Caenorhabditis elegans: one gene and its partner. The protein of the gene in region 1 purifies or fractionates together with the protein of each later gene. This does not show direct contact. Each region holds a gene or a part of one and is shown on either strand. Other genes may lie near its edges.

What was found.
Region 2: the proteins of F33H2.3 (region 1) and rop-1 fractionate together in Caenorhabditis elegans (co-fractionation; one large-scale study listed by BioGRID). This does not show direct contact.

The regions. Positions count from the first base shown.
Region 1 is NC_003279.8:15,032,639-15,036,212, forward strand, and holds F33H2.3 (Acidic leucine-rich nuclear phosphoprotein 32-related protein 1), read left to right. Parts: upstream 1-1,876; 5' UTR 1,877-1,893; coding exon 1,894-2,490; intron 2,491-2,545; coding exon 2,546-2,638; 3' UTR 2,639-2,829; downstream 2,830-3,574. Other genes in the region: F33H2.8 (TPT domain-containing protein), read right to left, coding at 1-191, 294-401.
Region 2 is NC_003283.11:10,252,307-10,257,127, reverse strand, and holds rop-1 (RNA-binding protein RO60), read left to right. Parts: upstream 1-2,072; 5' UTR 2,073-2,080; coding exon 2,081-2,151; intron 2,152-2,197; coding exon 2,198-3,112; intron 3,113-3,210; coding exon 3,211-3,859; intron 3,860-3,915; coding exon 3,916-4,212; 3' UTR 4,213-4,290; downstream 4,291-4,821. Other genes in the region: nhr-232 (Nuclear Hormone Receptor family), read right to left, coding at 1-21, 67-404, 446-579, 659-768; Serine/threonine-protein kinase akt-1, read right to left, coding at 4,677-4,821. UniProt on the Caenorhabditis elegans protein: RNA-binding protein that binds to misfolded non-coding RNAs, pre-5S rRNA, and several small cytoplasmic RNA molecules known as Y RNAs.

The DNA of each region.
Region 1 (3,574 bases):
TTCTTGGGAATATGCGCCTGTGGAATATAATTTGCAAAATGGATCAGTTTCAGAAAAATGAAGGTGAAGAAAAACTGGGCGAAGCTTGTGGCGATGAGCTTAATGTCCAATACAAAAAATAGTACATTATGAGCCGCCGAGAGCACAAATGCCGATGCAAGTTCAAGGAGAAAGTAGTAACCAGCTTCTGACTGTAAATTATTTTATTTTTTGAAGCAAAATAGTGAGTTATTTTTTTGGATTAAAAATCTTGTTTTTAAATCGAAAATCAATACAATTAAAAAAAATCAAACCTTTGAAACCTCCTTTTTCTCAGCTGACATTTTGGTAGCAAACTCAGTGAAATCTATGTGGAATACTGCAGGGATATGTTCGTTTCGTTTCACAGAGAAGAGGCGCATCGAACAATTTGGGGCATCTTGATGAGATTTTATCGAATTCTCGGAGGTGTGTAGTAGGTTTTATGGATTTCAGAGTGGATTTCAGAGTGAAGTCATTGAACTTTCTGGGAAACATCTGGGAAACAATATCCGACAAAAGCTCAAAAACGCATAGAAGATTTAGTTTTAATTTGATTGATCCCAATTAGTTCACTTTATGTATTTTTTCACACAGAAAAATACAATTTTCGCTCATTTTTTTGTGAAAAAAATACAAATTTCTATTCAATAATCATATTGTTCAATATATGTTCTATATATGTTCTATAATTTTTCCTTTCGCCAGCTCACTTTCCAGAGAAGCTCTCGATCCGCCCTCGATCCGCCCCTAAACCTGCCCAGCGGAGTAGCATATGAGACTTATGCCGTTTGATGAACCATGTTTAGAAACGGTTATCCGTAAACTTTTAGCTGCAAGTCTCCATAATCAAGCTCACGACATGCTCTTAAAGACATCTAAAACAACACTGTAACGTAGCACTTAGGGATCAATATTCACTTCGGAAACTCATGTCTCCGCGGATTTTGATGGAAAAGTTATCAACTTTACACGTTTGGAGTTGAAAGTTTTTTATCAAAAAAATCTTTGTTTGAGATTAAAGCATGTGAAGTGCGGTAAATGTTATTGTTAAATATGTTAATGCTGTTGATGCAATTTTTATGCTTATATCTGGAAAATTTTGAAAATTGACCCATTACAAAGGAAGTAGATGAAATTAATCTCAGACTTTGACATGACATGGTATTTTTCCGATCAAATAGTATTATCCATACCAAAATCAGAGATTGAGTTCGTCTACTTCCCTTGTTAGTGTTTGCAGTTACATTGTTGTTTTCGCTTTCTTTGAGCGTACGCCGTGAACTTGGTTCTGAAGATTCGCCGCTAAAAATTTTCAAATCACCGTTTCTAAACATGGTCTATCGACTGACATAAGTCTCTTATGCTATTCCTCTGAGCACCTTCACATGTTCCCCTCGTCAGTGGTGTACAAACGCGCTCCACTGCTAATGCATTTGATTCTCAGCGCGCGCAACCAAATTTGTTTTTCGCGCGCTCTCCTCCTAATTTAGGCCTTTTTTCTTGGCAGTGTATCGATTTTGTTCGTTCGTTGAGCGTTGCGCGTTCATTGTCATTATAGAATCGTATATAAAGCGAATAGAATCAGTCTATTCGCTTGGAATTTTTAACATAGCCTTCCAAAATTTGCTGCACCATCGTTTCATTGATTTTATCCGTGTTTCTTGAGTCATTCGTGCGTGATGTAAGAAACTGGACTCTAAATGGACTAAGCATTTTTATACTGATTGTGACCGTCTAAATAGCTTTTTTTATTCGACTTGTTTCCAATTCGGAAAGAAACTCCATTTTCTGTTCGATTTTTTAATTTTCTCTCTTGTCTCTTACATCTCAACTTTATTTTAATGCCTCTACCTTCAGACTACATCCTCAATCATGCCGTCTATGGCCGAAATCTACGTCAAAGAGCTCAGAGAGAGGGATCCAGCTACTGTCGATACTCTATTCCTCGACAACGCTGAAGATGGACAAATCGGAGGACTCACCGACCAGCTTATCAACTTGGAGATGCTCAGCATGGTGAAGTGCGGACTCACCACACTCGCCGGGTTCCCAACTCTTCCAGCTCTTACCTATTTGGATATCAGTGACAATCAGCTTGGAGACAACGCTTCGTTTGATGTTCTTGTGAAAAATGCTCCAGATCTTAAGAAGATCACACTCGCCAGCAACAAGCTCTCTTTGGATAATCTCCGGTGCTTAAAGGTTCTTCCAAATCTTTTCGAGCTCGACTTGTCGAATAATCCAAGTCTCGGACTCCTCGAGGACTATCGTGAGAAGATGTTCGAGATGATTCCATCGCTGAAGATTCTTGATGGATGCGATGTTGATGGAGAGGAAGTTGAGGAGGAGTTTGCCGGTGAGGGAGGAGAAGACAGCGAGGAGGGAAGCGGCGATGAAGATGGACCCGGACTCAGCTATCTCGAGAAGAGCCAGTTCTCCGACGACGAGACTGACGATTATGCTCCAGAGGTTAGTTTTCGGACTCATATTTCAGAAACGTATGTTCTTAATTTCAATTTTTCAGGGAGGAGACGCTGAACCACGTGGGACAAAACGTGGAGCTTCTGATAACGGAGAAGAGCCAGACAACAAGAAGGCAGCTGGCGACGACGAGTAAACTTCGACGCCTACGGACTCATCATCTCAACCTAATATATTTATTTCAAATATTTTTTCCAAAAAAACTTCCCTCATTTTCTTTATGGCTGCGCTGTACACTAAACCCCAACTTTAATGATCTGAAAAACTGAACCCAAACCACCAGACACTGCAACAACTTTTTGATGAATAAAAAATCTTTAACATTAATCTATCGTTTTATTTTCTTTTGTGGCTTTTGTGTGCATTCTATACCATATTATATTACTGAAACACTGAATTCTGAGAATGCGTATTGCGCAACATATGTATATCTTGCAGCGAAAACTACAGTAATTCTTTAAATAACTACTGTAGCGCTGATCAGATTTTACGTTGTTTATTTTCTAATTTTTTGATGAAAACTATAAAAAAGGCATCGAATTGACAAAAAACACGAAAAATTAGAGGAAAATTAAACATCGCCTGCCACAATCCTAAAAACAATTTGTTTCGAAAGTATCAGCTACAGTAGTCATTTAAAGAATTATTGTAGTTTTCACTACGAGATATTTTACGCGTCATATATGTTGCGCAATACGCTATTAATACGGATTCTCAGAATTTATTGTTCCCGTAATAGTTCTGCCTGTGTGTAGCGCAAACTTCAAAAGTCAATAAACTCGAAATTTGAAAAATTGCCAAAAACGAGACTCCGAAATAACGGGCGCGCGTGTTGTTTAGCGCTTTCAGTCCACATTACTTTTCCCCCACATTTCTCCCAATTTGTTAGGTTTTGCTCATATTTTCCCACATTCGAAGTATTGAGAGTTTATTTTTCCATAAAAGAACCGATTTTCTTCCTAAATCCAGCTGTGCGGTCATTTTTCACGTAGGCATATTTTTTCTCACAATTTTAAGGATTTCTGCGTTCTTTATCAAATGAAAGGTCCCATTTCTTCCAATTTTTAGGTTT
Region 2 (4,821 bases), on another chromosome or scaffold:
CATTGATATAGACTGAACAAACTAAAAAGGATGAAAATAAAGACTTCCGTGATACTGATATCTTACTTTAATTACATTACTGTGATGTATCTGTCTGTATTCTATCAAAGCGTGATTCATTCTTTGCAAAGTATTCAAATTTCGAATTTCCTCGGAAGGTACGAAATCGTCGAAAACGGATGTAATATTATTAAGAAGTCCAGTGATGTCTAATTTGACAATTGGCTCTCCTTTTTCATCAGTTTGAACTTCATAAGTAACATCCTTCGTCTGAGGAACACATATTTTATGATCTGAATTCACCGGAGAACTTGGGTCGGATGGTGGCTCGTGAGCATCGATTTTCATTTTAGGAGATGGTTTCTTGTTGTAATGAACAGCTGCATCATAATTATATTTGACATCTGGAAAATATTTTAGTTTTTGAAATGTGAAGAACCTGTACTTTCAGGTGTCATTCCATTTGAGAGACACTTTTGGTAACGGCAATATCTGCAGTTAAATCTATCTTCGTTGTTTGTTGTACATTTTTCATTTTTCTGACGGCATGTATACTTCTTTCCAAGTACGGTTGTTCTTCTGAAATATAGGTTAATACTGAAATTTTGATTATACGGATTTTTCATATTTAAATTCCAATTCTATATTTAAAACAAACCGAAAAAATGCTGCACATGCTCGACAAGAAGCAACCCCAAAATGAACACCATGAGCTGGTTCACAACAAATTTTGCATGTCAAAGTAGAAGAAGTGGGCTCTTGGAGCATATTAAATCGAATAAAAAAGAGGTCAGTGAGAGACTAACAGACTATGTGTCTTGTGCTCTTTCTTCAATTGATATGACGATTGTCCCAATTTTGATAAGATACCATGACATGCTCCTTTGATCAATATTGTGATCGGTGTGACAGAGCAAAGAAATCGAATGTTTGTCTTGTGAGATGGGTCAATGTGTTTTCTGTAAATACATTTAAAAGTTCGAAAAGTCGGAGACAAGTGGAACTTGGCAGACGACAGTTTACCCAAAAAAAAATTGGTTCGAATATGAAATATTTGAATCTAACCTTCGTATGTAAAAATGTAGATGACGATTTTTCTCTGGTGTCCCAAAATAATTGCTATTGTTGAATAGGTGCATATGAAATAACTTTTTTTAATTGGAATACTGGTAATTTAATTTTCTAGTGTTATGCCAAATGCAAAGCTTGCGCCAGGTCTTTCTCAGAAAGTGCATCCTTTGTATAACAGAACCCTTCTGCAGAATACAATTTTTCATAATTATTAAATTATTTTTCGCATTCGCGAGCTGGAAAGTTTTCATCAACTCAAATTAATCATTACATGTAATCCGCTAAACTCATTGTATTGTATACAGTATCTAGATATATCTGTATACAGTATTGAATTTAGTAGTTACTGTGTGCAAAACAGTTCATTTGCACGTGAGCGTACGCCAACTCACAGAAAAACCTACTCCTAATTAAAATTAATTTTTTTTATTAATTAAAATTTTAATTTAATTTTTTTTGATATTCTTCGCGTACTTTTTGTAGAAACATTCATAATTATAAAGCCCCACGTTTGAATAAATTGTTCAAATGTTTTATTAATTTTAATTTTTCAATTATTGCCTCTGAACATAACAGAAAACATTTAAATTATCAAATTTAAGCGAATAAATGTTTAATTTAAAAAAAAAACACACGTATGTAATGTTCACAATGTTTAGTATTTCAAAAACTTTCAAAATATTGCTATTTATTTCAAGTAATAACTGACAGCACTTGAACATTTCGAAACATTTCCAAATTTTGTCTCCACCCATCAGTTTCCCTATAAAAATCGTTTGCTTTCCTTTCACTCGTTTTCTCTGACTTCCTCATACTCTCTGTCGTATCTCAAATACGTTCTCGTTTACATTTTCAACTCCATTCTTTCCCACAAACATTCCTTTTCAGTGAATTTTTGATTTTCGTTGCCAAGTTATTCCGCTCTCATGTTAGCAATTTTTGAAACTCTCAACGCCTTTCTCGTCTTCTTCGAAAACATTTCGTAATATTGTTTATTTCAGAACCAATCATGGCTGATGAGTTGAATGAATTCCAAGAGGCTGGAAATTTTAACGAGGAGGCATTGATGAGACTCTCTAAGTAAGTTTTCATCAAAATGAAACGCTATAGAAACGTTTTTTTCCAGCGTCTGCGCCCGACTTCGCCGTATGCAAATGCTGGAATCTGATGTTGAGATTACTGTTGTCGATGGTGAACTCAAGAGAGTTCCTCGTCAAATGGAGAAAGTCAAGGATGGTCAAGTGGAGAATAACGCCGGAGGATTCGTTTTTCCTGTATCTGATGAAACTCAAGTTCGTCGCTTCTTGATCCTCGGTTCTGACAAAGGAAGCTATCATCAGTCGTCTGAAAAGATCACTATAGACAACGCTCAAAGAATCATCAAAATTATTGAGCAGGGTAACGGACATATGGTTTTGAAAGAGCTGGCATTGATCAATGCTGAAAACCGTAATCCAAAGATGAACGCAATGATCTTCACATTGGCAATTTGTGCTCGAATCTCTACTCATGACACAACGAAGAAAACTGAATGTCCAATGCTCAATGCCTACTCAGATTATATCCGAGCTCTTCATGATTCAGCGCTCGATCTTATTCCGGAGGTTTGCCGTACACCAACCCATCTCTTCGAATTCGTTGATTATTGTCAAACAATCTCTGAAAGTACTAAAGCAGGAGGTGCTAAATCTTCAACTGGATGGGGTCGTTCAATGAGAAACGCCATCAGCAAATGGTATACCACAAAGACAACTGAAAAGTTGGCAATGTTGCTCACAAAATACCCACAACGTGAGGGATGGTCTCATCGCGATCTTTTCCGACTTGCTCATCCCAATCTTATGGATAGCCGTTCTCATGGCCAAAGCGAAGATCGTCTTGAAAGAGAGCAATTGTTCCGATTTGCGGTCAAGGGAGATTTAGTGAAAAGAAAGAGAAAGATGTCTGTCGAGGAAGTTGCTGAAGTTGAGAAGGTCTGGGATAAGAAAGCGTTGAAGCTTCCGTACACCGAGGAACAATTAATTAAGGAAGAACAGAGCAGGTCCGATTTTTGACCATTCTCGGTTTTAATTTTATTCTTGAGTATATAGTTATAATTTATTTTTCAATTAAAAATTAATATCAAAGAAACATTTTCAGAGCTCTCAACCTCGTGGAAGCGTACCTCAAGCTCAAAAACGAACAAAGCGAGGAAGTCATCGTAGCAGCTATCAAGAAACATGGACTTGTCCGTGAGCATCTGCCAACTACAAGTCTCAATTCAAAACTTGTATGGGAAACACTTTTCGATGTTTCAATGCCAATGACTGCTATGATTAGAAATCTTGCAAAAATGACCGTTGTGGGCGCCCTTGATGAGAAGAGAGTTGACAATATCGTGAAACGTCTCACTGATCAAGAGGAGCTGCGTCGTTCTCGAATTCATCCAATAAATCTTCTGACTGCCCGTGCTGTCTATGCTCAAGGTCGTGGTGACAAGGGAAGTCTCACTTGGGAGCCAAATCAAAAGATTTGTGACGCCCTTGAAGCTGGCTTCTACAAGGCATTCGTGAATGCACCACCAACTGGAAAACGATACTGCTTGGCTCTCGATGTTTCTGGTAGCATGACCTCTCGTGTCAGTTCGTCACCACTCTCATGCCGTGAAGCTGCTACCGGAATGTCTTTGATCAACCTTCACAATGAAGCCGAAGTTAGATGTGTCGCCTTCTGTGATAAGCTCACTGAGCTTCCGTTTACTAAGGATTGGAAGATCGGACAAGTTAATGACTACGTTAACAACCTTGATGTAAGTTTCATAATGATTTTAATATTGAATTTAATATTAAATTATTGAATTTTCAGTTCGGCAGAACAGATTGTGGCCTTCCAATGACTTGGGCAACAGAAAATAATCTCAAGTTTGATGTCTTCATTATCTACACCGACAACGATACCTGGGCTGGAGAGATTCATCCATTCGAAGCCATCAAAAAGTATCGTGAAGCTTCTGGTATTCATGACGCGAAGGTCATTGTGATGGCAATGCAGGCATATGACTACTCGATTGCCGATCCATCTGATGCTGGTATGCTCGACATTACCGGATTCGATTCGGCTGTACCACAGATTGTTCACGAGTTTGTTACTGGAAAGATCTAATTTATAGTACTGATCTGTTATTTATTTCGCATGTTTCTTTGTTCATATTTTGTCATTCCATAATAAAAATACGAGGATAAAATTCTTTCATTTGGATTGTTGGATATGATATAGGAACATAGTACATCCACGAATGATGGCGCTATTTGGTTTTCACAACCGTAGCTTGTGAGTAATATTACAAAACGATGATGGAATTTTGAAATGGAAAGAACTACGGTCTCAGGTGAATAAAAAGGATAGTATACAAAGGGAAGGAGGCAGAACAGGAAGAGATGAAAACAAAGAGATTTCTCATTTTAATTCGATATTTACTGAGAATAGATCAAAATATAGTCACTGTAACGACTAAATATTTGTTTAAAAAAGGATATCTGAATGTCAGACAAAGGGGTCAGTTTTCTACAGTCTGCAAAACAGGCTAAAATCGCAATTAATTAAATTCAAGCCATTGTGGTGTCAAATTATCCCATATCATAATCTTCGTTGTCTTCACTTGCTTCATGAATTCGATTGATACTTCCCATAACATTGTGGAATGAGAATTGTGTGAAGTTTGATTGCATTTCTTCTTGCTCATCGACTGTAGCAAGGGCTCCGCTTCTACTA